Xenopus tropicalis: one gene and its partners. The protein of the gene in region 1 interacts with the protein of each later gene in a pairwise test. Links are inferred from orthologs where the notes say so. Each region holds a gene or a part of one and is shown in the gene's direction. Other genes may lie near its edges.

Evidence for each region.
Region 2: the proteins of lzts2 (region 1) and prkab2 interact in binary tests that used the Homo sapiens proteins (3 or more experiments, as listed by UniProt). The link is inferred for Xenopus tropicalis from reciprocal best matches to the Homo sapiens genes LZTS2 and PRKAB2.
Region 3: the proteins of lzts2 (region 1) and rad51d interact in binary tests that used the Homo sapiens proteins (3 or more experiments, as listed by UniProt). The two-hybrid records come from large-scale screens. The link is inferred for Xenopus tropicalis from reciprocal best matches to the Homo sapiens genes LZTS2 and RAD51D.
Region 4: the proteins of lzts2 (region 1) and c1orf109 interact in binary tests that used the Homo sapiens proteins (3 or more experiments, as listed by UniProt). The two-hybrid records come from large-scale screens. The link is inferred for Xenopus tropicalis from reciprocal best matches to the Homo sapiens genes LZTS2 and AIRIM.
Region 5: the proteins of lzts2 (region 1) and usp2 interact in binary tests that used the Homo sapiens proteins (3 or more experiments, as listed by UniProt). The two-hybrid records come from large-scale screens. The link is inferred for Xenopus tropicalis from reciprocal best matches to the Homo sapiens genes LZTS2 and USP2.
Region 6: the proteins of lzts2 (region 1) and kat5 interact in binary tests that used the Homo sapiens proteins (3 or more experiments, as listed by UniProt). The two-hybrid records come from large-scale screens. The link is inferred for Xenopus tropicalis from reciprocal best matches to the Homo sapiens genes LZTS2 and KAT5.
Region 7: the proteins of lzts2 (region 1) and tnip3 interact in binary tests that used the Homo sapiens proteins (3 or more experiments, as listed by UniProt). The two-hybrid records come from large-scale screens. The link is inferred for Xenopus tropicalis from reciprocal best matches to the Homo sapiens genes LZTS2 and TNIP3.

Annotation. Positions count from the first base shown.
Region 1 is NC_030683.2:29,793,038-29,796,537, forward strand, and holds part of lzts2 (leucine zipper putative tumor suppressor 2 homolog), read left to right. Parts: intron 1-2,307; coding exon 2,308-3,012; 3' UTR 3,013-3,500. UniProt on the Homo sapiens protein: Negative regulator of katanin-mediated microtubule severing and release from the centrosome. Required for central spindle formation and the completion of cytokinesis.
Region 2 is NC_030680.2:118,092,965-118,096,927, forward strand, and holds the start of prkab2 (5'-AMP-activated protein kinase subunit beta-2), read left to right. Parts: upstream 1-1,163; 5' UTR 1,164-1,268; intron 1,269-3,101; 5' UTR 3,102-3,116; coding exon 3,117-3,278; intron 3,279-3,565; coding exon 3,566-3,723; intron 3,724-3,963. UniProt on the Homo sapiens protein: Non-catalytic subunit of AMP-activated protein kinase (AMPK), an energy sensor protein kinase that plays a key role in regulating cellular energy metabolism.
Region 3 is NC_030678.2:94,397,372-94,401,527, reverse strand, and holds the start of rad51d (DNA repair protein RAD51 homolog 4), read left to right. Parts: upstream 1-1,356; 5' UTR 1,357-1,493; intron 1,494-3,400; 5' UTR 3,401-3,413; coding exon 3,414-3,495; intron 3,496-4,156. Other genes in the region: keratin, type I cytoskeletal 9-like, read right to left, coding at 144-926. UniProt on the Homo sapiens protein: Involved in the homologous recombination repair (HRR) pathway of double-stranded DNA breaks arising during DNA replication or induced by DNA-damaging agents. Bind to single-stranded DNA (ssDNA) and has DNA-dependent ATPase activity.
Region 4 is NC_030678.2:86,153,920-86,158,201, forward strand, and holds the start of c1orf109 (uncharacterized protein C1orf109 homolog), read left to right. Parts: upstream 1-1,482; 5' UTR 1,483-1,724; coding exon 1,725-1,900; intron 1,901-2,671; coding exon 2,672-2,944; intron 2,945-4,035; coding exon 4,036-4,215; coding exon of another isoform or gene 4,216-4,231; exon of another isoform or gene 4,232-4,262; intron 4,263-4,282. UniProt on the Homo sapiens protein: Part of the 55LCC heterohexameric ATPase complex which is chromatin-associated and promotes replisome proteostasis to maintain replication fork progression and genome stability.
Region 5 is NC_030683.2:80,112,306-80,116,381, forward strand, and holds the start of usp2 (ubiquitin carboxyl-terminal hydrolase 2), read left to right. Parts: upstream 1-1,276; 5' UTR 1,277-1,586; coding exon 1,587-1,697; intron 1,698-4,076. UniProt on the Homo sapiens protein: Hydrolase that deubiquitinates polyubiquitinated target proteins such as MDM2, MDM4 and CCND1. Isoform 1 and isoform 4 possess both ubiquitin-specific peptidase and isopeptidase activities.
Region 6 is NC_030680.2:37,908,523-37,912,754, forward strand, and holds the start of kat5 (histone acetyltransferase KAT5), read left to right. Parts: upstream 1-1,432; 5' UTR 1,433-1,440; coding exon 1,441-1,449; intron 1,450-2,027; coding exon 2,028-2,094; intron 2,095-2,639; coding exon 2,640-2,708; intron 2,709-3,849; coding exon 3,850-3,986; intron 3,987-4,232. UniProt on the Homo sapiens protein: Catalytic subunit of the NuA4 histone acetyltransferase complex, a multiprotein complex involved in transcriptional activation of select genes principally by acetylation of nucleosomal histones H2A and H4.
Region 7 is NC_030677.2:71,474,019-71,477,518, reverse strand, and holds part of tnip3 (TNFAIP3-interacting protein 3), read left to right. Parts: intron 1-680; coding exon 681-746; intron 747-2,546; coding exon 2,547-2,633; intron 2,634-3,500. UniProt on the Homo sapiens protein: Binds to zinc finger protein TNFAIP3 and inhibits NF-kappa-B activation induced by tumor necrosis factor, Toll-like receptor 4 (TLR4), interleukin-1 and 12-O-tetradecanoylphorbol-13-acetate.

The DNA of each region.
Region 1 (3,500 bases):
ATGTGGACTCTCTGTTCTGTATAACATAGTTCTCTCACGGGCCAGTTATTTTTAAAGGGAAACTACACTACTACAATGTTGCTTGCACCATCAGAGGAAAGTTCATCTGCAGCTTTTTTTGTAGTCATCAGGGCAGATGTTCCCAGGTATAGTGCTTTGCACACAAATCAACAAGGAATGACGCAATAGTCCTGCCACCACGTGCTGCCCGCTGAAAGTGCATCGGGCGATTCCCGAGGTGTTAAACCCGGTAGTCTCTCTTGCTGACCTTTGGGTGGAGCTGTCGGGCAGTAAAGCTTAAGTCTCATCAGAACTTAGCTACTCATCTGCTGTATCTGCTGCAGGTACAAAAGCTGGGCCCAGTTACCAAATTACCCAGCCATCTTTCATTTAATTGCAGTTAGAGGCATTCAACCTATGGCTAATAGTGATAAGGCGCCTAATGATTTGTTTAAGCATTTTCTTACTTGAGTTGTTAGTAAAGTTTATTCTGGGGAAAAGCTAAAACTACTTTCTTTCTGATGGTATTTTGGACATAATGTCACCCTAACCTACATCTGGAGAATCCTTATTGTCTGCATAGTCCCATCAGCAACATGTTCTATATATAGGTCAGGCTGCCTTATTTACAACTATATGTGTTTCCAAAGAGCAGAGATTTCCTTTAGCAGGAAATTCAGTAAACTAAATTTTATAGAATTGAATCTGTAGAACTCTTTTACTTATGCGTTTCCCACAAACCAATGCAATTACTGCCATTTCATTCTTTGTTTTATTGCAAAACCCCAAAGCTCTTTACTGGCACTTCCACTTGTTATGGCCTCTAAGGAGCGCAAATGCATGGACCTAAATAGCTGCTTGATAATCAGTCTTGTCATATAAAAGACACATCGATATCAAAGAAAATATCATGGGGAGGGAGAGCTGAATGGCATATTTCAAGGTTAAAAGAAGGCCTGTTTCACTGTGCACACGTCTATTTAAGGCTGTTTATCTTATTTATACATAAATACAATATGAATATGAGATCTAATTTAATATAAAATGAATGAGATCTAATATCCAGAAACCCATTATCCAGAAAGGACCTAAACAGTACTGCCATCTTCCAATGTTCCATGGAGCAGTTTAAGGGAAATATGCATATATATCCTAATGGTTCCATTTTTTCCTCTGTAATAGGAATGATGGTAACTAAGCTACCATAAAAATATATATTGGTGGCAAAGTAACTCTTTTGGTTTTTTACATTTTTATACTTCTAGATATGGTATCTATTAGCTGGAGTGCTCAGAACCTGGGGTTTCCGGATAAGGGGTTTTATTGAAATTTAGATCAACATACCTTGAGTCTTCTAAAACCATGAAATTAACCCAATAGGATTGTTTTGCCACCAATATGGACCCATGCAGCTTAGTTACCATGAAATGTGAATAAATGTTTACATTGGACTGTATGGGGGACGGCTTTTCTGTAATTCAGGGCTTTCTGGATATTGGGTTGGTTTCTGGATAAGAGATCTCATACCTGTAATGTATAAATATAAAGGACTCTGTCCTATCATTCACCTTAATGTATTTCTGTGAACATATAGTGTCCATCATAATTAGCATTCAAGCGGTTTCTCTCCGTATTTATCCACTGCTTTTGGTCCCCTTAGGACTAGTCTGAACCACATTTTAGGAAATTATAGCCTAATTGATGTTTCTAGTGAATGGATTACCTTAAAAAAGCACCCAGTGCCAGAGGCATTAATACAGTAACATTCATTCACTGTAAGCACTGACACAGTAACACTAAAAAATACGTTTTTGTAATGAAAATATAATGTAGTTTTGCCCTGCACTCGTAACAGTGGTGTGTTTGAAACCCTACTATAGTTTATATGGAGAAAAGGAGATAACCAACAGGCTCTGTAGTATACACTTTAATTATACTACTGTTATCTGCTGTGTATCCTGTATCTGAATGGCTGCCCCCATTGCTTACACAGCAACTGTGTAGTAATAACACCCCTGTTATACATTATATTAGCATTCCTAGTGCAACCAACTGCTCAATCCAGGACCCACAGTTCTAGTCAGTTGTGTCTGGCATGAACACGTTTTAGGGAGACAGAGCTCAATAATAAAACAGCACCAGAGTATTAAAGTAGAACGTTGGACATTTGCAGCAGGTTCCGATACCGAGAGTAACCAATCAGATTGCTTTCACTGGTGATTAGAAGATGCTGCTTTGGTTGATAACAGGCTACTAAAACTTTTCCCAACTTTGCAGCTATTAACAGTTCCTATGTAATTCTCGTAGGTTTGCCAGAAATCTGGTGAAATATCATTGCTGAAGCAACAGTTGAAGGACTCCCAGGCTGAGCTGGCACAGAAATCTAATGAGATACTGCTGCTTCGGGCTCAGGTGCGAGAGGCTCGATCCGACCTCCAGATCAGTGAAGAGCAGGTACAGGAGCTGCAGGACACGGCGCACACCAAGACACTGGAGCTGGAGGTGTGCGAGAATGAACTCCAACGCAAAAAGAATGAGGCAGAGTTGTTGCGGGAGAAAGCCAGCAAGTTAGACCAGGAAGTAGCCGGCCTAAGGGAAGCAGCAGTAGCCAACCTGCGCCATGGACTATGCCTTTGCCATGAAAAGGAGGACCCTTTCTTATTATATGAAAGTGACGAGGCCAAAGCGCAGCGGCAGAACGCAGACAACCTGCAGGGCTTGCAGCAGTATGTGGAGCGTCTCAGGGAAGCCCTAACAAGCGAACGCAGGAGATATCAGGAGCAAGCTGACAGCTTTGAAGATGAGCGGCGAATATGGCAAGAGGAAAAAGAGAAGGTGATCCGTTATCAAAAACAGCTGCAGCATAACTATATCCAGATGTACCAGCAGAACCGCGAGCTGGAGAGGGACATTAAGCAGCTCTCCTTAGAACTGGAGGCAAGAGAACTGGACGAGTTTGACTTGCACGGGGCCGAAATCCAGTTTGAGGAAATCACAGCTACAGAAATCTGAAGCCAGTGAATATGCAGAGCTACCACAAATGCCTTTATACACGCCGACAACATTCCAGCCAATGGCTTTGCCAAAACACAGCTACTAAACACTCACACAAGCTCTTCTTCATTGTCACTCAGACTTACAGTGGATAAACCATACTCAGTGTTTTGACAGGGAACCATAGGTTTATGGACTGCACATTAACACTACATGCAACGAGATTTCTAATTGGCAGATCTTGAACACTCATACAAAGTATAGTATTAAGGAGCCATATGTATATATATATATATATACTGTATACCTGCTCACAAGTTATACTATATGGACCAAAGGAACTTGTGTCATTGAATAAGAAATGTATGATACTATGTACAGCACTTATGTATGTGTTTGCATAAAAACCTGCTCCCTTGTCATGGCGTGTAACAGAATTTGAGGTACTGTCATGGAGCACAAAGGTGCCATTATGTTAAGTCTGTTCAGTACTTTTCAGTATTCCT
Region 2 (3,963 bases), on another chromosome or scaffold:
TGGGCCACCATCTGCGCACACTGAAAATCATTTCATATATGGTTTTATCAGTATGTATATGGTCAGCTTTGCTGGTGTCAGTTACAGTACTTTATGTGGAGGCTTGCCATATTAAGTGGCATTGCTAGTTTTATGGTAGCGTAGATGTTTCGCTTTAACCTACCTCCCCAGCTTTCCAGGGGCAAAAGATAGATACAATCACACAGGACATATTACAGCAGTTGTTTTAGATATTTACATCAGAGATTTCCAAAAAGCTCATTGGAGAATTTCAAATATATAGACTGTAAGCTCTACGGGGCAGGGACCTCCATCCTCTTGTGTCTTTGACTCTTAACTTATTGCAACTGTATTTATCTTGTATTTATTGTTATACTTTGTATTTATCGATTATCTTAATAACCCCAGTTTGTATTAATGTATTCTACTGTACAGCGCTGCGTACATAAGTAGCGCTTTATAAATAAAGATATACATACATACATACATACATACAAATATTTACTTTAGTGCTACTGTTTATTTATGTTGTAAACTGAACGCTTTTTTCTTTACATACCTACTCCATTAGTGGTATGTAGTGTGACCAACTGCACTGGCTGCTTATACTCTAGCACCAACCGACAGAGAGTCATTTTCACAATATTTTTGTACACTCGCTATTGCGTATAGCGGGGAGGGCATTTCCCGGACACAATAATATGTTATACATTGTATTTATCTATTAACTTAACCCCCTGTTTGTATTAATATATTCTACTGTACAGTGCTACGTACATAAGTAGTGCTTTGTAAATAAAGATATACCTACATACAAACAATAAGGCCCTGTTTCTGTGCAGAGCAGGTTATAATGGGTTAACATAACCCTAAATACTCAGAACAACCCACTTGAACCGGAAACAATGACTTGCACAACTAGGCGTATGTATTAAAAGATGATTTATATAATTGTTATATAGCACGTTGGAAACGAAAACTAAATCGCCTTGGGGGATTTTTGATCCAGTGCTTATAGGGTTACCCGTGCCACAAGCCCTACTTTCCCCTCAGCTTCCCTCCACTAGATGGCAGAGAGATGAATCGCTGATGCAGGCCTGTTGCAAGTGGTGCTGATTTGCCCGGCTCGTCTGCCACACAATCTATTTGCTGCGTGTGACAAGCGGCTGTGCAATGTGTCACGGTTAGAGCACAGCTGAGAGCTATTCCCGGCATTGCACAGGGGCTACCCCGCTCACTCCAAGGGAGAGGGACCTGCAGCAAACGGGGTAAGTTTCCTTAGCATCCTACACTACATGTCTGTTAGTAAATAGGGTACATCGTTCTGTGTAATTATTACTCAGCAAATGACATTAGATGCCAGCGCTGGGCGCAGGGCATTATGGGAATATTTCCTTGTCAAGTTGTTGTTGTTTCCCTCCTGGCTTCCTTGCTTTATATTTCTATTCACTCTCATGTAGTTCCTAGGTAACTGCTCTATAATATACAGGTCCTTCTGATGTGTTAATATTAAATAAGTCCTGGGTGATGCCTATTGATATATGTATTGTACTAATAAAAGGAGCAATGGAATAAAGTAGCCTTTGTGGTAAGCGGAATGGAGTTAGAGGGCAAAGTAATTCTGTATCATGGCACTGCTGTTGCCATAGTTATTATACACAAGCTGCTAAATGAACTGCAGTGCTTTGCTCTAAGGAGCTCTGGGTAATATGTGGTAGCTGCTGTGTTTGTATATAACTAAACCCCATATTCTAGTCCTTGTGTTGTGCCTGTCACTCTCTAGAGATGCTGCTGGCCAGTAAATTACTGCTAATTACTGTGTCCTGTTTCCCATTAGGCTTCCTGCCAGGTGTCGGATTTACAGACACTGCGATTTTATGTCCCAGAATAGTGAAGAGGTTATTACTGTATATTTGAAAGTTACTTAGTACATTTTGTTTCATTATGGAAGATTCGTATATTTGGGTTCACATTTCCTTTAAAACACAAGCTCCAACACGTGCTCAGACGCAGCAATTTCGGCCACACTCACTAAAACCTATTACCAATATGCTGTTATCCTGTGCAGAGAACTGAGCCCAAGCCTTGCTACTGACGTGAGATTGCCTCAACCTTTAGTTCCTGTGGAGATCCCATTCAACAAATAGAATGGAACTGGATTTATAGAGCTGCTTTTTTCTGGGGATACAAAGTACATCTCCAAAGTTATGGCAGCTCTGTTTGGGTGCAATAACTGGAGCAGCAAGGTCACAAGGATCTAATGCTGGGATACATGAATAGGTCTCCATCTTGAGATCAGATGTCACTGTCCTTGATCTCATGAACCAAAGAGCCAGCTACATATAGAAAAAAACTATGTAATGATATAAAGCAAAAAAATAAGGAAAAAATTAATATACAAGGCATGCAAAGCTAGTATGGATTAGGGATACAATACACATATACAATTGCTTATTGGTAGGAGGCAATAAGGGAAGGGCCATTCCTGTGTGAGCTTACAGTCTAAGAATATTTCCCATTTTTTGTAAATGATAAAAGACAAAAAACTGTAGTGAATCTGTAGTGAATAGCCTTATTATTATTTATATTTTTTATTATTATTATTACTACCCGGTCCCTGCCCCAGTTGAGCTTACAGTCTAAGTTCCTATCAATGATATCAGTAGCCAGTTCATATTTTTGGAGTGTGAAAGGAAACTGGGGTACCTGGAGGAAATAACACAAGCATGGAAAGAACATACAGATCCCATGTGATAGAGCCCTTCATTCATTCCAGTAAAGGAGTGAGAATGAGTGTTACAGTTACCCATTGCTTATTTTTCTTTTTTATTTCTTAAACTCCAGGCACTCTGAGGCTGATATATATCATACTGAGGTCATTGTCTCTCCTTGCATTGACTTGCATTGCACATTTCTAGACACAGAAGCTGTGTAAAGATAAACCATGCTTTCTTTGCATAGCTTAAATAAGATATATGATTCAAAATTAAAACAATAGCCTGAGCCATATTAACCCTATTTATTAGTTGTACTTTTGGCTCTCTTACATATTTCCCCTTCATATAAAATACACTTTACACCACAACTTGTTTGCTTTGCAGTGGCCTGAGCCAAATATGGGTAACACAGCAAGTGATCGCTTATCTGGAGATCGGCATGGCAAGTCCCACCGTGCAGATGGAGCAACTGGGGGACACTCTACTAAGGAGCATGAGGAAAACAAAATCATGGTTGGAAGCACAGACGACCCAAATATCTTTAGTACTCAAGAATCTAAGGTATTCCAATGAACTGAAAAGCTATATGAGACTGGAGTGGGAATGTGATCTTTTAATGCCATAGGGGTCATTTACTATGACCCGAATGCTAGTGTTAGAAGGGATGCAAAAATACATTCCATAGTGCTTCTTCTAAAGAGTTTATTATATGTGGACCTCCTGCTGTTGAACTACATTTCTGAGAAATCCCTTGACACAAAAGGTAGATAGCAACAATAGCTGGAGACCCACAAGTTATTGTTTCCCGAGCTATAAATCTATTTCTAATTTACATTTTGGCAATGCAGCACCCTGGTGACTCAACGTGGCCCCAGGAATCAGAGGATCCTGGAAAATCAGCTCAGCAAGGTCGTCCCACTGTAATCCGTTGGACAGAAGGTGGCAAAGAAGTCTTCATATCTGGGTCATTTAACAACTGGACTGCCAAAATTCCACTGATTAAAAGGTAGTACAACTTACATAAAAATAGGCATATATTGGTTTTGTATTTTTTAGTTTACATGATTGTCTTACCTGTAACTCTCTAGCTGGGCAGAAGTCATACTTTTTAAACATATCAGGGAAGGCTTAATATTTTTTTCCCTAACAACAGGTAGCTTTTTTATTTGCACAGTGGCACCTGTTTAAATGAAAGCAGCCCAGGGGCATGTATACCTATAGAAATATTTATTAACTTAAAAGCTAT
Region 3 (4,156 bases), on another chromosome or scaffold:
TCAATGTCACAAGGTTAACGACAAACACCTAATCCACGGTATTTATAATGCCTAACATAAAGTGCACCTTCTATTTTTCTAAACACATGTATGTCACAAGAGTATGTCACTCTGCACTCCCCTAATCCCCTTTACATAATAATCTACATTCTAGCAGCCACACCATATATATCACCCTGCGCTCCCCCAGCAGCCACACTGTACATACCACCCTGCGCTCCCCCAGAAGCCACACTGTACATACCACCCTGCGCTCCCCCAGCAGCCACACTGTACATACCACCCTGCGCTCCCCCAGCAGCCACACTGTACATACCACCCTGGGCTCCCCCAGCAGCCACACTGTACATACCACCCTGCGCTCCCCCAGCAGCCACACTGTACATACCACCCTGCGCTCCCCCAGCAGCCACACTGTACATACCACCCTGGGCTCCCCCAGCAGCCACACTGTACATACCACCCTGCGCTCCCCCAGCAGCCACACTGTACATACCACCCTGGGCTCCCCCAGCAGCCACACTGTACATACCACCCTGGGCTCCCCCAGCAGCCACACTGTACATACCACCCTGGGCTCCCCCAGCAGCCACACTGTACATACCACCCTGGGCTCCCCTAGCAGCCAGACTGTACATACCACCCTGGGCTCCCCCAGCAGCCACACTGTACATACCACCCTGGGCTCCCCCAGCAGCCACACTGTACATACCACCCTGGGCTCCCCCAGCCGCCACACTGTACATACCACCCTGGGCTCCCCTAGCAGCCACACTGTACATACCACCCTGGGCTCCCCTAGCAGCCACACTGTACATACCACCCTGCGCTCCCCCAGCAGCCACACTGTACATACCACCCTGCGCTCCCCCAGCAGCCACACTGTACATACCACCCTGGGCTCCCCCAGCAGCCACACTGTACATACCACCCTGGGCTCCCCATCATACTGCTCCCCCAAACACACTGTACATTTCACACTATGCCCAACCCCCCCCCCCCCCCCCCCCCCCAAACAGTCATGTTTATATCAGTTTGCTCTTTCAGTTCAGCTACTTAGTACAGTACATAGAGAGATCCCCACCGTAGATCCCCTTACTCTCCTTCCAGCCCTTACCTCCGCCATTTCCCTCTCACAGCAGCCCTCACCTCTTGCAAACCCTTCTTTTGTGTATTGATGTACCTTTCTGGCATCTGAAACCTGAGCCACCGGAGTTCTACATTCAGATCGCCTACCCCCTCCTCTGCATGGGCCGCAGCAGCTCCAAAGACTGGCTTTGAGGAAGTTGTGATATCACAGCTAAGCACTCCCTCAAGTGACATCACATTCCCCCGCCCACGTCTTGTCACATGACTGTCACCAGCACAACTTCCTCGCTGTATGGAGATGCAGCATCCAGAGAAGGAGCGGGAGATCTGAAAGTAGAATTGAGTCAGTGCAGGGATTATATGGCATAAAGGTTCAGAAGTAAACAGGCAAGGGTTTGCAACAGGTGAGGGGATATGGGTGAGGGGATATGGGTGAGGGGATATGGTGGAGGCGAGGACTGCAGGGGGACCATAGTTATACATACATACATACATACATATATACTAAGGCCAGTACTTGATTGGATTTCAGTCAAATGGTATATATAGAAAATTATTACTTTAAACTGAGACATAGCCTCAAATATTGTGGCCTGTTGGCATGTATTAGTATAGGTTTTTGCATTCACATGACACATAATGATACCCTAAATCAGGGGTCGGGAACCTTTTTGGCTGAGAGAGCCATAAACACCACATATTTTAAAATGTAATTACATGAGAGCCATACAATATGTTTGGCCGCGGATTCTGCGGGGCAAGGTAGGGTGGGTCCCAAGTGGAGGAGGGCGTGGCTTGCGCTCGGCGGATAGAAGACGTGTTCTAAGGCTTAGAACATGTCTTCTATCCGCCGAGCACAGGGGCAAGGTAGGGTGGGTCCCAAGAATGCCGGGTGCGGAGGAGGGCGTGGCCTGCGCTCAGCGGATAGAAGATGTGTTCTAAGGCTTAGAACACGTCTTCTATCCGTCAAGCGCAGGGGCAAGGTAGGGTGGGTGCCGAGGATGTGTTACAGAGGAGGGCGTGGCCTGCGCGCCACGGATAGAAGATGTGTTATAAGGCTTAGGACATGTCTTCTATCCGCCGAGCGAAGGGGCAAGGTAGGGTGGGTGCCGAGGATGTGTTACAGAGGAGGGCGTGGCCTGCGCGCCACGGATAGAAGATGTGTTATAAGGCTTAGGACATGTCTTCTATCCGCTGAGCGAAGGGGCAAGGTAGGGTGGGTGCCGAGAATGCCAGATGCAATGCGGAGGAGGGAGTGGCCTGCGCTCGGCGGATAGAAGACGTGTTCTAAGGCTTAGAATGCGTCTTCTATCCGCCGAGTGCAGGGGCAAGGTAGGGTGGGTGCCAAGGATGCCGGATGCGATGCGGAGGAGGGCGTGGCCTGCGCTCGGCGAATAGAAGACGTGTTCTAAGGCTTAGAACACGTCTTCTATCTGCCGAGTGCAGGGCACACCCCCCATTATTTTTTTTTTATTAAAGATTTGGCAGCGAGCCAGATGCAGCCATCAAAAGAGCCACATCTGGCTCCCAAGCCACAGGTTCCCTACCCCTGCAGTAGAGTATTTATAAGGTTCCTAAGGCAAACACACAACTTTGACCAGTACAAGGCAACAGCACATTACATTTTAGAGGAGAAGGAAAGGTAAAAATAAAGTAAGCTTTATCAGAATGGTCAATGTAAATACAGTCATAAGCACTTACAGTAATGCTGAATTCGCCTGCTCCCCCGATCTTCCGTGCCTTGAGTTAAAGGTAGATTAGAATGTTGGACCTGCAAACCCAGACCTGCATTCCAAAGCTATCTAAGTGTAAAAAAACAGGATACACTAAAGCATCACAGTGATGTTTATGCTCCACTATGATGCTTCAGTGTTCCTTGTTATAATTCTCCCCACGTGGCATGGAAGTTACTTCCCCCGGTCTCACACACACATTTGTTTTTGCATGGGTTGAAATGTGCAAATCTGCTGCTGAGGTCTAGTTCATGCCTTTCAGCTGATGTTTTAGACCAGTGGTGAGCAGGCAATATTTAAATTGGACAGTAATTATTACAGGGCTCTATGATTCCTGTCAAAAACTGTTTTGGTATCCTTTCAAAAAAGCATACGGGGCATAACTTTGCAGAAATATGACAGTTTGTATATACTTTTCAAAGGACAAATCTGTGTTATTGCTAATACCCAAAGACATGAGTAACTGACAGACAGAGCATCCAGTGGGTATTTTGAATACTTACTTTATGAAGAATTGATATGATACACAGGTAAAATACTTTATACGATAATCATTTTTTTTCTCTCTGTTAACTCAGCTGAGCTGAAACCATGGTGATCTTACGTGAAGGACTTTGTCCAGGACTCTCAGCTGGTATAGTTGCTGTACTTAAAGCTAACAATGTAAAAACAGGTAATAATTACAGTCACTTTAACCTCACAGTCATTATGTAAAGTATTTGTTAGATACAGTTTTGTTTTCTCTCTGTACAGGTTGTGAGCAAATGAAGGAGTTTGTTGCTGTCGTCCCTATGTTTGTAATTGTCCCAGGCTTCACTCTTAACAATGTCAAGCTAAACTGTGTTCTGCTAACTCTACCCCCAGTTTCATTTATTTCAAGGGCTGTCACTAGATCATGAATATAGAGCAGCAAAAGTGCCTTTTTGCAGAAGAGTAGGTCTCGAAATCTAAGCTGACTCTTCTGTTGGAACATTAAAGAAAATTTGTTTTCCATGCTATAAAACAACTTTACTAGGTGATTTTTCTGGAAATGTTTATCACAGATATAGCAGAAATTCATAGGGTTGGACCATAATATTATCTGCGGTTTACAAAATAAAGGGATACAATTATAAGGCTTAACCCTTTACACGCACAAACAAATATTTCACCAGAAAAGATGCACAGTTACAATTGCATATTATTAGGAGACAACAGGTGGAATGCCCTGCTCACAAGAGCTTACGATTTAAGAAGTGAAATCTTTTAGCTTCTTCTTCTGGTTTGAACTGTTTGCTTACTTACATTTATCATTGATTAGTTATTCTGGAATAATGGTAGACTTCTTAACCTAT
Region 4 (4,282 bases), on another chromosome or scaffold:
CATACATACATACATACATACATACATACATACATACACACACACACACACACACACACACACACACAATTTTGAATTGTTTTTTTATGGTATTACCTGCTTCGCCTGCGCCCTTGGTGCCGGTGAGGGGATCCCCCATCGCTGCTTCGAGGGCTTGGAGTTCGCCGGGTGCGGTGCTGCCTGACGGGGCTTATCCTTTCCTGTTTTATAGTTACTGTCTCCGGGCTGTGTGGTCTCCGCTTCCTGCCCCTATCATCCTCCTCATTCATGCTGGCACTATAATCTTTTCACAAACACACACCGAGAAGAACCAAAATGTTAAGCAATCTACCTTCTCTATAAACCGGAAACCACCGAACGTTACCTCCGATCCGGAAATAATTCCCTCTTATTTAAATATTTTTGGGATTTGTAGTTTCTAGCGATTTATCATAAAATATCCTTTATAGCAGCGCCGACAAATCAAAATTTACGTTAGCTACTCTCATGCACAATTATGGTATTAAACCAACTTAAACTGCAATTGTTACCAAGGAAAATAAGGAATAAACAATTGTCGCGCCAGTCACCTCGATAGCAATAACAAGACTTTAAACTACAATTCCCTTCATGCCGTGCGGCTGTAGGTTTCCATTTCCGGCTTTAAAAAAAAAGGTGAATGTATTCACGTTGCAGTTGTGCTAATGATAGCGGGCAAGCTAAGCAGCTTTTCCAGGTCTGGTGAAATACGTGCGTTTGAATTGGGAAGTTGACGCTGTTTTTATTTTACCTTTTCTGTTCTATATGACATTATATATGACATTGTTTGTAATGCTGTTTAAGGACACGAATCAATGTAATACGGATAGCCTTACTTTTTTCTTAGTAAATAATTGAAAGCAATACTGAAATATATCACCTTTTATATACATTTGAGCCGATGATTCGCCCTTATAAAAATAATCTTAGATTTATTAATGTTATTCTGGTAGTGTTATGTAGAACATCTTCCACTGTGGTAACTGCTAATATAGGGGTGGATATACTTATTTTTTCCTGTAATCACTGTTCCAAGCATGCAACAATGCCTCTGTTCCTTACAACTCCTGGCAGTAACTACTGCTAGGTCTAGGTCCAACTTTTCCAGCAAACAAATACCAGCTGTACCATATCTATAGATTTTTTTTTACCAACTATGTATAAAAAATAAAAGAAAAAATGCAGCACAGGTAGCCATAGGTTGTTTAACCTTTAAAGCAGGGGTCGGGAACCTTTTTGGCTGAGGGAGCCATAAACACCACATATTTTAAAATGTAATTCCCTATAATATGTTTGGCCGCGGGGCAAGGTTGGGTGGGTCCCAAGGATGCCGGTTGCTGGATGCAATGCGGAGGAGGGCGTGGCCTGTGCTCGGCGTATAGAACATGTCTTCTATCTGCCGAGCGCAGGCCACACCCCCTGTTATTTTTTTTTTTATTAAAGATTTGGCAGCGAGCCAGATGCAGCCATCAAAAGAGCCACATCTGGCTCCCGAGCCATAGGTTCCCTACCCCTGCTTTAAAATAAAACAAAAAAAACTGATACCCATAACACTGGAAGTACTAGAAAGCCACTCCCATAATAGGTAGAACTAATTAAGCAGTTTTTTTTGTTAAAGTTAACAATACTTTATGGCTTAGATTTTATCGGGTGCCACATATTACTGATCATTGCCAACATAAAGCGATTTTAAAACAATATAAATTATGCATGTGTGCCAAAATCTTCGAGTCAGAGCAAATCTGATAACAAATGTTTGCCTAATTGCTGCTATTATAGATTTGCAAGCAATTTTAGCATTGGTGTCCACTCCCTCTGAAGTCATTTGGCCCTTGGGTTGTCATGATATGACACATCAAAACGCACGGATAAATGCCAGCGGGTATGTACCCATAATCTGGCCTATTGTTTTTAAAATAAAGGGGACATATTGTGTGAAAAACCATATTGTGCCAATGATTTGTACTCATCTAAATATAAAAGAAATGTGCTTTAAAAAGTAGTGTTTGGGGCTGATTTATTGATTTTATTTATCTGTTCCACTTCTGGCTACCTCCTTTCCCAGGTTGTTCAGGGGAGGCCAGCGGCACTCAGCACACTATATAGGAACCAATCAGCAGCTAGACTGACCTGATAGGGAACTGAAGCCTGTCTTTGCCTGTGTGACTGCAGGGCTGTGATTGGCTCTCCCCCTTTTACTGTGCTTCTGGCAGGGACTATTAGAACATGCCCACCTCTCATCTGAAACACGGACAGGGACCTGAGAGGATCTATAGGGAATTCCAAAAAGGGACAGTTCTTACAGATAGTTTTAATTTTTATACCAAAGTAAAACCAGCCCCATATATTATTCATAATTGTCTACAAGATTAAAGTTTATGTAATTTATGTCTCCTTTAAGAAATGTTTGCTGCAACTTAGTTTAAACATATGCCTACTTCTCTAAGACATTTCAGCATACATTTTACTATACTGAGTTAAATATTACTAGGCTAATGTGAGTATATCTTTTTCAAGGGTTTAAATACTTAGAAAGGTGTTGTGTGTTTTTGCATTCATAACGCTGTATAACTGATTTGTTGGCTTGAGTTTTATTTTAAGTGCAAAGCATCAGATTTATGACATGTATTTCACCAGTTTTATCGTTTTATAGGATGTCTGAGAAACCAGCCTTTGTTTCCGTGCAGCAATCGCTGAGAAAGTCCTTTGATGCCATAGAACCACTGCATGAAGAATGGAATAATACACTTTTAGAGTGTAACCCACACCTAACTTCTTTAAGTAATCTAGCAGAACAGCTACAGGCCTGCCAGAGAGTACTGTTTAAGAAAACCCCCCTGAGCAGCTTTATTAACCTGCAAGAACATCTTCGTTTTAAACTACAAGCAGCTATGGAGTTTAATTTGGAGATCTTAAATCAGAAGTTGTAAGTCCAATGTGTTGTTGGTTCAACCCTTCCGGTGCTGGTATCACCATGCAAATTTTTAGATAAGATACAAGCATCACTTTACATGTACATCAGTTCTGAAAACACTGAATTACTTGCTTGTCATACTTAATGTAGATATCTTTCCATTGACTGACACAGCTTCAGTGTGTATTGTGCTACACTGAGCGGATATCAGCACGAATAGGCATACTTGAGTGTTTCTGCGCCAATATCCGCTATGTGTAGCTCCACACAGGCAGACACTGCCTGTTAATGGTTCTACAGGAAGGAGCGCATGACAGTGGATCCACTTTCCTCTGCCTGGGTAAAAACTGCAGGTGAAAGAAAGAGTATCCGCTCCATGTTCCCTTACCTTAAATCTACTCTGCTGAGTAGATATAGCAGTTGTTAGTTCTAAAGTGATACACTGCTAAAAGAATGGATTTTGGACAATACATTCTCATAGGATGCACATTTTTTTGTACTCGGCAGGTTTTGCCTTTATAAATATTCTTATATTTTTAGCAGCAATTTTCTTCTTCCTCAATAAGAAGAGATATGAAATGGCGTTGATACTCACACTTGCATACAAGTTACAGGTTAATTTATTTTGTATGGAAGGTTTATATCCCCACAATATAACCTCAAGCTGGTTGGTTGTATTTCAGTGTGAAGTACATGATTGTCAGTTGTGTAATCACTACCTTTTGGTTCCCACAAAATCTAACCAAATCAGTAATAGGTTTAATATTTTCCTACAATAAATTATTACATTGTGACTACTAATTGCACAGTACTAGTTTTAATCACTTTATACCTTTTACTCTCAGCAGGATATTGCAAAATAATCACATACCCACAGCAAGTTAAAACATGAAAGCCAAAGGTCTAGGTTTTTGGATGTGTGTAATCTGTACAGACTTGTTTATGGCCTAATACAAAATGCTATTTACATTGTTGGGCATTATCACAGGCAGTAAATATTGTAGGTTGCCAAACTGGGCATCAGATTTTCACTTGAAAAAAAGTATTTCCTGAATACAAGGATTATCTACATTTTGTAACTCTTCAATTGCTAAATTTTACAGGTCTACGCTGCAGAGAATAAGGGACTCTGTAAGTCAGGTGGTTGGATCTGTCCTCTACATGTATGAGACAAGCATTGAAAAAATTGGTCTTGAAGCAATTTTGGAGCGTTCTTCTCTCTGTCCTTCCATAGCTGACATGTTAGAATGGCTACAAGATATAGAGAAACATTACAGAAACCAGTATCCTTTAAAGTAGAACTACTAACAAGTCCTGCCTTGAGACACAAGTAGGAATCCCTGTTCCCAT
Region 5 (4,076 bases), about 50 Mb from region 1:
TTTTGTATGTGATTGTAAGCATTCTATTTTTAAGTACATGGTAATGTTGGGCTTGTTCATGGCTGCTTGCCTATAGTAGTCCCCTTGTACTGTAAAATAATTTGCCATACATTTACCAATAAAATTATATGAAATTACAATTTTCAGTAATATGTATATTGTAAATTTGTCAGTTGGATAGGCTTGATGTTTTAGCCTGTATGATACAGTATGGGGTTGGTGTGTGTATAGCCATGGGTAGGCAAGTATTGATCATATGTCTTTTCTAAAAGAAAAACTAAAATGGCTAGAAATGCCATATTTTATATACAGAACTTACTGCATTATCCTAAATGTTCAGCATTATTGTTCAAAATAATGATCTAGCACTTCACAGGAGCTCCAAATCTTGCCTTTTGTTAGAAGTGCCAATGACACGCACATGCTCAGTGTTCCCTGGGAAGCTGTTCAGAGGCTGAGCTTAGCGATTGTCACAAATTCTCAAGCAGAAAATGAGGTTCACCTGTCATAAAAACTTATGCTACCAGGCCGGTTATTTAATTCTGATGCTAATTGTACTGGTTTGAGCAGGCCCGGATTTGTGGCAATGCCACAAAGGTCTGGGCCTAGGGTGGCACAAACTAACAGTCAGTGCTATTAACAGTCTTATTTTTTTACATATATACATATGTATACAGCATATTGTGCATTAGCCCCTAGGCATAGTAACTGACAGCAGCATAGAGCATGTTCTCTGTGAAGCAACAAAAGCTGAACTTGCACCAGATATTACCTGGTTATTACCACCTTGCCAGTAACTTGTCAAAAGCCAAAAACCCCAATGTAACTAAGGGACAGAGCAGGACTCAATACTTATATAGGGGAGTCCATGAAATTCTAATTGAGACCTTTTAAAAAATAAGGACGGACTCTGTTAGACCTATCCAGCACATAATCTCTGTCAACATTTGCAAATCTTTCCTGCACTGTTTTTTTATCGTTATATTACATCTGATTTTTTTTCTTTGTGAAATTTAAATATTCCTTTATTTTTGTACATATCGGGCACACCAATAATAATTGGCCTGTCATCTAAGTAGCTCTGTGTCCTGTGGCACTAACACGCACACACACAGACACACAGGCACACACCTCTGTGTCATGACTAAGTAGGTGACACACCTCCCAGGGAGAGATCACTATGTGCTCAGTATGTATTTCTATTCCTCCCACCTGACGTCAGGAACTTGTCAAATTCCACATGCAGCCGTCTCCTCCTGCTGAGGCTGTAATAGCTGGAGAGGAAGCAGGTCACACTGTGCCTCTTTGAAAAACCAAGAATCCTGCACTAGGAATTAGTAACCCTGATCTGCTTCTCTGGTGCCAGCAGAAATCAGCAGCACCAAGAATAGGATATTGCAACTGAATATTATTTCAAGAAAAAGGCTCTGAAATCAAAGCTGCACAAATTCTAAGTAATTTTCTAGAGCCAGCTTCAATGCAGAACCAGGATTAGTTATTTCCTAGAGTACAGACCAAGATCTAACCAGGAGTGATCCAGAAGTGGGAATTTATCAGAGCATTTCATCAGCCATCCCAAACTCAAGATGCGTACCCACACTCTAAGAATACATGGCATAGGTGCTGGCAGAGAGCACCAAATACCCGGAACAGTCATACTTTCCAGCATTGTGGATTTCATGCTCCACAGAGCAAAGGTGAGATATCTACAAAAGGGATAAAAAAGGGAAGATTTGGAGAGATTATCAACAGAATAAGGAATAGTCAATGGGAAAGAGACAGCTTAGTTTTCCTAATTAAAATAAGCAAAGTCAAATGATACGTGCAAGGACAGAGCTTAAACTTTGTACACCATGTAGATTCTCTGCGGTGCAGTCTCATGATCCGCAGGCCTCACCATGTGTTCACAACTTAAACGGCATTGCCAAGTTTACCTATTTTCCATGTATTCCTTTTGGTATGGGGGCTAACAATAGTCTACAGGGGTTGGTAGGGACTCCTCCTGTCAGGTGGTAGGTAATCAGAGTGCAACAGTTTCTGTAAAATGTAAATATAGAGAATATACATTCTGCAAGATTATAGAATGTTCACTAATACATTTGACAGCTTTTTAGGGGATGCAATATTGCCTTTAAAAGGATTTTTTATATTTTGCCAGTTTCAAACATTTTAGGTGTTGTGGAAAAATGTTTTAATTAATGTAATGATAAAAGGGCTTTGTGACAACCCATGTATTTGTGGGGTTCAGTTAACAATAGTTGCCAAATTTGCCCATGAACAGTAATCTATGGCAACCAATCAGAATGTTGCAGTCATTGTTCTACCTGCAGCTGGCTGAAAAAAAGCCAATCACAGAAATACAGAAGTATGTATTTAATCATGTGGTGTGGCAAAATTGATTTGGAGCCTGTTGTATGTAGTGACATTGTGTTGTCACCAACCTATAAAGCAGACAACACTTAGATTAGTGCTTTATAAATGAAGTTATACATACATACAAACATTGGTTATAGGGTGACTATAGGGTGAAAAAATGTAACTAGTTCAAAATATGAGCAAAAGTGTGGACATGGTCTTAGATACCTGAGTTAAAACTGAACGTTCCTCATATTTAGCAAATACTATTTCTAAAAAAGTGGAGTTAGCAAAAAGTTTGTTTCCCCAAGAAAAATGTGACAAATTTCATAGGAAGGAGGGAGTTACTTATCACCCTTTGTGCTTATCTGAAGGAGCAGGGGTTATATCTTTGTGAACTCTATAACTCCAAGCGTCAGCAGAATGCTTACAATCCTGCCCCTGGCCCAAGGTCAGCTCTGCAACCCCAGAATTTAGAGATCAACTCAGCTCTCTCTAACGTGTCCTGATTTAGTAACTGTCAATGCAGCAATAGAAAGAAAATATGGAAAAGTGGGACTTGTCTGAAACACTTGTGTCATGATGCCAAGCTCTATTAAGGTTTCTGCAAGATTTTAGTGAGAATTGAAGGAACATTACAGAATATGATTGATCCTTATCAGCAATATTCCCTCTAAGATGTGCACTCCTGCTGGCGCACATACATTTGGAGGGCAGCACACAACAAGTGTGCCCAAAGAATGTTTTGCGTAAACACATGCAACATTTTGCATTCATTCTGACCTGAGCAAACAGATTTTAAAATGCACACATTTATTCTTTTGCGCACATGGCTGAGCAGGAATTAGAATGAAGATTGCTTATCAGCCTTAGAAAATGCTTATCATCCCAGCAACCTTCTCACGCTTTGGACTCTGTGACCCTGTAGAATGCTAGCTAAGACCAGCTAATTCCAGTTTGCACTTCTAAAGTGAAAATGGGACACTGGTAGGAGGTGGCAAAGAAAAAGCCTGTAGATTAACCGAGCAAAAGTAAATCTCTGCAGTGCAGTGCCACACATAGATCACATTTCCCAGCTTCAGCTCTAAAGAAAAAATATTAATTGACAGAACACTGTACACATGGCAGGAGTCCAAGTCTATAGGACAATGTATGAATGCAAACGAAGGAGACCTGCAAAGCGCTGACTGCCAGAAGTGCATAGCAACCTCCCCCTAAGGCTCAGAATATCTGCAGGGAAATGGCTGATAGATTGTCAGGTTATAGTTATATCGCTGCATTCATTCAGTTACATTTTACTCTGGTAACAAAACCAGCCTCTTATGATGTCATTAATTGCAGTGCCTGCTCAGCCAGCACCACCCATGCTCCATTCTGGCATGTGTCATAGTAACGAGCATACCATTACCATTTACAAGTAAGAAAGAGATTAGCAGCCAGGAGTGAAGGAATTCTTGGAATTCGGTTTAAGTAGCTAACACTACAACAAAGGTCACCTCTTACCCCCTATTCACATCACAGTGCTGTATAAAGTTTAGAAAAAAGTAAGAAAAAAAGGAAAAAAGTAAAGTAAGAGTAAAGTCTAAATTATTAATCCACAAATAGTTTGATATGTGTAGTTTGTTTGTCCCCATTTCTCGTATTCTGCAAGTGCTGGATATTTTAGGGACTCGCCAGGAGAAACAGATGAAGAAAGAAACAGATGCCAGTCCTCCTTTGTG
Region 6 (4,232 bases), on another chromosome or scaffold:
GCTCTAGTTAGATCATACTGCCATTTGAGAAATGGTCCTTGTGTGACTCGAAACATGTGCTAATAAATTGGCCAACAGTGTGATTTTCAGACTGTCTGTGGGCTCTGAATTATTGTCCCAACAATTTTCATACCATGGCAATTGGTCGTTTAGTTGGACAGGTTAGAAAATTTCTGTTGCATAACAACATTCTTTATATAGTCTTTTTTTATGTTTAGGAGTGGATAGGAATTAGGTGATCAACCCTATGCATGCAGCAGGACTTTTAACCTCATCAGTGCTTCTGCTTTAAAATGTTACCTTTACAAAGCCTTGCAATTAAATGCAATAACAGTTATACTAGAAAAGAAAAAACACTTAATTCTGTTTTGAGCCCTTTTTAGCATGTTTCTAAAGTCCGATTATAGATCTGCTCTGAAAAAGCTGAGCATTTCTTTAATATGTTGTTGTTTCAAATTCATTATATTCATTATACACTGGGTCCCACAAGAAAATGTTTTTTTAGGCATTAAAACTTTGAGGAAGATGTCAGTTTCTCACAGATAGAAATTATGCATTATCCAGAACCCTTGCCTGGCCTGTACATTTCTTGATTCCCAAGCAACCACTGGGTTATTGTTGTTATACCTCCGGGTCCTTGTGTCTTTGCCTGTTGCTACTAAGCAGCTTTCACTTACGTTTATATATACAACAATAAATAGAGTATATTGTCAGTCCATGAGCTGAGGTGACAGTAAAGCAGAGCATATTAGAACAATGCCCATTTGATCTTACCTGTTACTTCACTGCTTATCAGAAATTAATTTTATATATTTGTGTTAAAGTTACAGAAGTTAATCTTCTGCCTTAGCTATTGTGGTTCCAGATGATCAATAACGTAATTTATTTCCATTACATACAGCATAGGTCATTTCTCACTAGCCATTGCTTATACAACACACATCAAGGAAAAGAAACAAAGGCATTGGCATAACCAGAATTTACTGGGACCCACATCCCTTTAGAGTCCCCTTTGATGGGAATAAATGTTTCACACACATTCGCAACCAACCTCTGTATACTACACTGTTTTTACTATTACACACATGCGTAACTCCGTTTACGGAAGTGTTTTGGGCGGATCGCTATCACTGGAACGCATGGTGCGTGTCAAATCGAAAAAGGGGAAACAATTACCGCCTTTTTGCTATTGCTGCCCAGGCGAATGCCTGGTAATTAATACTATATTTATATTTGTCCAGTATGCTCCAGTTATTACAAAAAATATATTTCTTTAAAATTTCATAACCTGTTCCAAATCAAGGACAAAGGTGAGTTTTAGAGGCTCGTAAAAATGCTATGCTTATTCCGGCGCGACTTCTTTGCCCTTCGATACGGTTGTCAAGGAAGGGGGAGGCGGCTGCGAGGCTGGAAAGAAGGAAGTCGCTTTAAAGCAAAATCATGGCGGAGGTAAGATTTATTGTTTAGCTCTTATCGCTATGTATGCGCAATTGTAGGTGATATTTCCACAGAATATAGTTACATGCAAAGCGTAGGATACGAAAAGGGGCTGGAATTTTGCGTTATCCATTTCTTTTATGTCAAGAGAACCTCTCTGTATTATGAGGCCATAGAAACATTTAATCATATTGACCAAACATTGGCTGTCGCTTCTTGCATGGCCGTATATCAGCTGCTGTGAATGCAAATTCCAATTGCTTGTAAGGTTCCCCATTTATATTCCCCATTAATGACCATGTTATGTCAGGATTTCCTCAGACAAATTACTGCATCTTGAGCCATATTACATTTGGTTTTCTATATTTGTTTTTCAGCTGATCTGTCTAGGATTTATTTCCTCATTATTACTCCTTTTAGATGTGCTGTTAGTTATTGTATCTCACACATTGACACCTTTTATGTTGTACTTTATTATTTAAAGGGGACATAAACTGTCAGGAACAAGTATTTGCCACTACATTATACAGCCATTAAAATAATACACTGTTAAGTTGCCCGTTTCTCATTTATCCGTGACTGATTTTCAGGCAGAGATTGTGGAGGGTTGCCGATTGCCTGTACTTCGCAAGAATCAAGATAATGAAGTTGAATGGCGTAAGTACTACATAGCTTGAAACGCACTGTAATAAATATTGCAGAAATATAGCTTGTACAGGTATAGGACCCATTATCCAGAATGCTCGGGACCAAGGGTATTTCGGATAAGGGGTTTTTCCATAATTTGGTTCTTCATACCGTAAGAAAAAAATCACAAAAACATTCATTAAACCCAATAGGACTGTTTTGCCGCCAATAAGGATTAATTATATCTTAGTACAGATCAAATATAAGGTACTGTTTTATTATTACAGAGAAATAGGAAATCAATTTTAAAATTCTACATTATTTGATTAAAACAGAATCTATGGGAGATGGGCTTTCCGTAATTCGGAGCTTTCTGGATAACTGGTTTCCGGAAAATGGATCCCATACCTGTACTTGTTTATGTTTACAAGAGTGTAGAATTCTGTGTGTTTTTTATTTATATGGTGAATTTTCATTCAGATGGTTTGTGAAGAAGCAAAGAAATAAAATGTAATTCATAATAAAATATACCGTTTTTGTAACCACTTCTTTTGTCTCTGTTTAATCCTCTCTAGCACTTGCTGAAATTCTGAGCATCAAGGAACTTACAGGGAAGAAACTATTCTATGTGCATTATATAGACTGTAAGTTTATATTTAAATATGGAGTTTAATGTTTCACTTAGTATTACATATATCCTGCATATTACATATAGTAATATGCAGGATACATGGCTTAAATAATGATATGTACTGAAACTAGGCTTGAGCTGCTTAAAGGGGAGCAATCATGAAAAATGTTTTTAGAATATTGAAAATATAAAATCTAGACAAACATTTTGACAATGTATAGCATTTAGAAATGTTGCACTGTTACAAAGTTATGGCTAATTATTGAAGCAGCCTCCCATTCGCCACCCTCCAGAATCTCTGTGTGAGTGACAGAGCATAGTGAAAGCTGATTTGCTGTGGCATGTCATGAGGCTCAACAGCAAACATGTGCAAAGGGGAAGTAAAGGAATTGAGCCGGGCTGGGCTAGGGGCTGATGAAGCTGCATTTGTACATATAACAGCAAAGCAGCTTATTGTTTATATCCTTTATATCCTCATATACACAGCACTTCTGACTCTTTTGCATTCAAGATTGTGCTGCTCACCAGCAGGCTTAGATCAGCTGCCAGTTGCCCTCTTGCAATTTACACATGCAGAAACAAATTTTTATTCAATACAGGTGTGACAGTTGTGACAAAAGAGTGTATAAAAGACACTCCCTCCATACCAGTGACATACCTATTGCAGCAATATTTCAGACCTCTGCACAGGCAACTGTGTATGTACAGGCACACAGATTCCTGTATGTTGGATTCACAGACACCTATGTCGTCAGAGCCCTTCTGTAGACTTTCTTTCAGGCTTCTTGATTGGCCAGCCAAATCAGGCCCACTTTGTCAGTCTGTAGCATTTACTCTGCTATAGCTAGTCCATGTCTTTTTTTAGAAAATGCCATATATTCTGTTATCAATTAGCTTGCATATTATAATGTAGGGATGCACCGAATCCAGGATTTGGTTCGGGATTCAGCCTTTTTCGGCAAGATTCAGATTTGGCGAATCCACAGTCCTGGTGGAACCAAATCTGAATCCTAAAATTCATGTGACTTTTTGTCACGTAAACACAGAAGTTAAAATTTTTTAACCTCTTCTAATTCTTATTGCTAGCATTTTTTTCTCTTGTAAAATTATTTCAGTCTCTTTTTTTTACTTTTTTACTCTATTAATCCCCCCAGTTAACAAGCGATTAGATGAGTGGGTTACTCATGATCGTTTGGATCTTAAGAAGATTCAATTTCCAAAGAAAGAGGCAAAAACTCCAACAAAGAATGGACTACCTGGATCAAGACCAAGCTCCCCTGAGAGAGAGGTGGTAAGTGCTTGGGCACTCAAAGAAACTGGTCATGTCAATCTGTCTTGCAGGGATGATGTTGACCATAACAGTTATCCCTGCACCTTACTACTAAAATAAGTGCAACAGAAAGTAGCAGGTAGTATTGCTTTAGCAGAACTAATGCCACTCTGCTCCTTTGGGCTTTGGGAGATATCAGTTTCTTCCTGTGCCCTCTTTAAAACAAAGATACCTGCATGTTCCTCCCTCTTCTCCAAGTCATCCAGT
Region 7 (3,500 bases), on another chromosome or scaffold:
GGACTTGGTCAAGGCAGTTTTGATATTCAAATATTAAGAAGTATGGCATTGCAGGAGAATGACCTTTTGTTCTTAAACCATTGTATTGTATGAGATCTGTGAATACAACACCACCTGTGTTTGGCATCGCTTTATTCATGAGGGGACCCGCTCATGAATACAACACAGGTTTAGGAACCCCTATCAGTTCAATTAATAGTTACTATGAAATCTTTTAGCAACCCCTCTGGCATTTGCCAGAATCTACAGATTGCCTCTATGGGCCTGTTCAGATGCACAAGTCAGGGAACGCTGGTAGACACTGGCTGCAATAAAGCCCTGTATTTAACACGTGGCCTATGGCATTTTAATTCAGTGTGGGTGCAGAGGCAGCAATGAACCTTCCCCAAGTCCAAAGTGAATAAGCACTAAGGGGCACTGTTTTGCACCCATTATTCCACCTGCACCTGAACTAATAAATGGTTCCTCATGTCTCTACACGCAACAGGGTAAATAAAGAGCACTGTTATAGGCACAGTAGCAGAACTGGTCTGGAAATAACACTCAAATACAGAAATTGTATAGTTAAGGAATAAAAGCATATTAAGTTGATCCAGGTGTTTATAAAAAAAATGGAAACAATTATTCAAAAACGACTGTATTATTAAAATTAAAATACTGTATTAACATTCTTATTACAGCTGCTTCACGTGAACAGGCAGTGGGATCAACAATTTAGAAAAATGAAATTGGTTCATGAAACAATGGTAATAATTTGTTTGTCTTTTTCACTTCCTTTAGTGAGAAATTTCAAAGTTAAATAACAAGAAAAGGTGAACTTATCCCCGGGCTGGAGATCCTTTTATGCACAGTACCATGCCACCAACTTACTTCCCCAGGCATCCCTCTGCAGTCTTAGGGGCTGATTTACTAATCCACGAACGTCCGAAAAGCGCCCAAATGTGTTTTTTTCGTAATGATCGGTATTTTGCGATTTTTTCATCGCCGTCGCGACTTTTTCTTAAATTGTCGCTACTTTTTCGTAGCCGTTACGACTTGCATGAATTGTCACGACTTTTTCGTAGCCGTTGCGAAAAAATCGGAAAGGTTTGCCCGCCGTTTACTAGCGCTCAATACGAAAAAGTCGCAACAATTCGCGCAAGTTGTAACGGCTCCGAAAAAGTTGTGACAATTCGCGCAAGTCGTAATGGCTACGAAAAAGTCGCGCCGGCGACGAAAAAATAGCAAAAAAACAAAAAAGTCGCAAAATGTTTGTTTCCAATCCGATTTTTTCCCATTCGGAACTCGGATTTGTGGATTAGTAAATCAGCCCCTTAGACTCACGCACACAGTACATTTTTCAGATCTCAATAACATATTGTTACCCCCAGGTAAATTCAGCTTTCCTTGTCCTAAAGGCATGAAATGCATACTGTTATTCACTTTGAAAAATATGATTCCATGTTTCATAATGAAGAACAATTTTTTAAATATTTTTGTCACTGATATCAGATCTTAAACAGAGTAAGTGTAAAAATAGGAAGGGCGTAAAAAAAGAGAAGGGTATTAATGAGTATAGGAAATAATTAAGTTTGCACAGTTGGAGTTAATACAGAAATAAATAGAGACAAAAGAGGGTTTCAGATGCATAGAAGATAATATAAAAGATGGCAATACATGAAGGGGCTGTGTAAAAAACAAGGTTAGAAGAAAAAGGAAGGAGATCAAAGGCAGCATGTTTGTTATCACCTCTGCTGTGTTCAGCCATCTTTTATCTTGTGCCTTAACAAAGCCCACCTGGTCTATTGTGTTCAATGAAACTACAGATAATATATATATATATCATATATATTAAAAACAGTACAAATGTGCTAAATAATGAAAGGCTGTGAAGGCTATGGCATATAGGCAGTCAGTTTTAACTCCAGGGGGCACATTTACTAATCCACGAACAGACCGAAAGCGTCCGAATGCGTTTTTATCATAATGATTGGTATTTGCGACTTTTTCGTCGCCGTCGAAATTTTTCGTATTTTGCGCTACTTTTTCATCGCCGTTACGACTTTATCGTATCGCAAAATACGATAAAGTCGTGACGGCGTCGAAAAAGTCGCAAAATTTTCGTTTCCAATCCGATTTTTTCCCATTCGGGATTCGGATTCGTGGATTAGTAAATGTGCCCCCAGGTGTGTTAATCAATTAGCTTCAGAAGGAATTCTGGGAAAAAGGTCCAGGATAGCTTCAATTACAATATTCCAGGAGTCAGAACTAGTACAGAGAATATACATAGCAAGACAGACACAGCTTTTAATAACAATTACATTTAAAATAACCTTAAAACCACTGAATATTTTTCATCAATGCATGTCATAAAGTTGGTTACAGTTGTCATTACGCAAAAAGAAAAGCAACCCCATTGCATGGACTGCCATGTTGCTAGTCTAGTTGGATCCTGTATATTGCTTGCAATGGGATCAATAGAGGCTAAAATAAATCACGTCATGTTTTGAGTTAACATAAACAACACTTGTTAATTTACCTCTGTACTCACCAACAATTATATTCAGGTCTCACAACTGAAATTGAAATCATCTTCATGTCAAGGAGAAGACATATTTAAAGAAGAGAAGCCTTTAAAGAATAATAAGCAGTTGGTAAGTATTTTTGCAATAAAAATGATTTACTTCAGTGTTTTACTTATTTTTAAAATGTTCTAGTTTGAGCAATTTTAAATAGTGACAGAGAAAAAGAGGCTAAGATATATGTGGTGTTTTTAGGTACACTCATTGCTAATGATTCAGTTCATAGCAACCGCATCCAAAGGAAAAAATACTGCCAGATTCGGTACACAAATAAATACACCAAAAAACAATATATGGGAGTGTTTTAAAGTTTTACTTTTTTAAAAAAAAAATATTACTTTATTACATACAGTACATACTGTGCACTGGTGCTAATTATAACATTTACTACCCTTTTTACCACTGGTTAATTGGTGGCTAAGTACCTTTAAGGTTTAAAAAACCTATATTAAACCTATATGAAATTCACGCAAATTTGCACATATTTGTTCTTTTCACAACATTTTTTTCTCCTAATAATTTTAGTTTGAAAAAGTGTCAACATTAGATTAGTGCTGTTCGTCTTATTACATGTAGAGGGCAGATTATTTTTTCATATAGAATGTTTGAGGGCCGGATTAAATTCAAATTCTGATGTTATACAGTGAGGTCTATGGAGCCTTCGAACTATGAGCAGACTGTGGGCCATAAAAATAAAACAATGAACGTATATGTAGTAGGTGGACTGCTAAAATACCCACCGAAACAAAGTTTGTAATGAAGTGAATCCTGACTCATAGGAATTTCTACAGAACCACAAAATATACACTTGACTTGGAATCAAAACCAAATTACAACTAGCTAATACAGATATGGATCACCCTTTCAGATTCCCTCAATATTATTACTTGATCATGGCTATGTCGAGTTACTTTTTTTTTTTTTTGTCCAGTTATTATT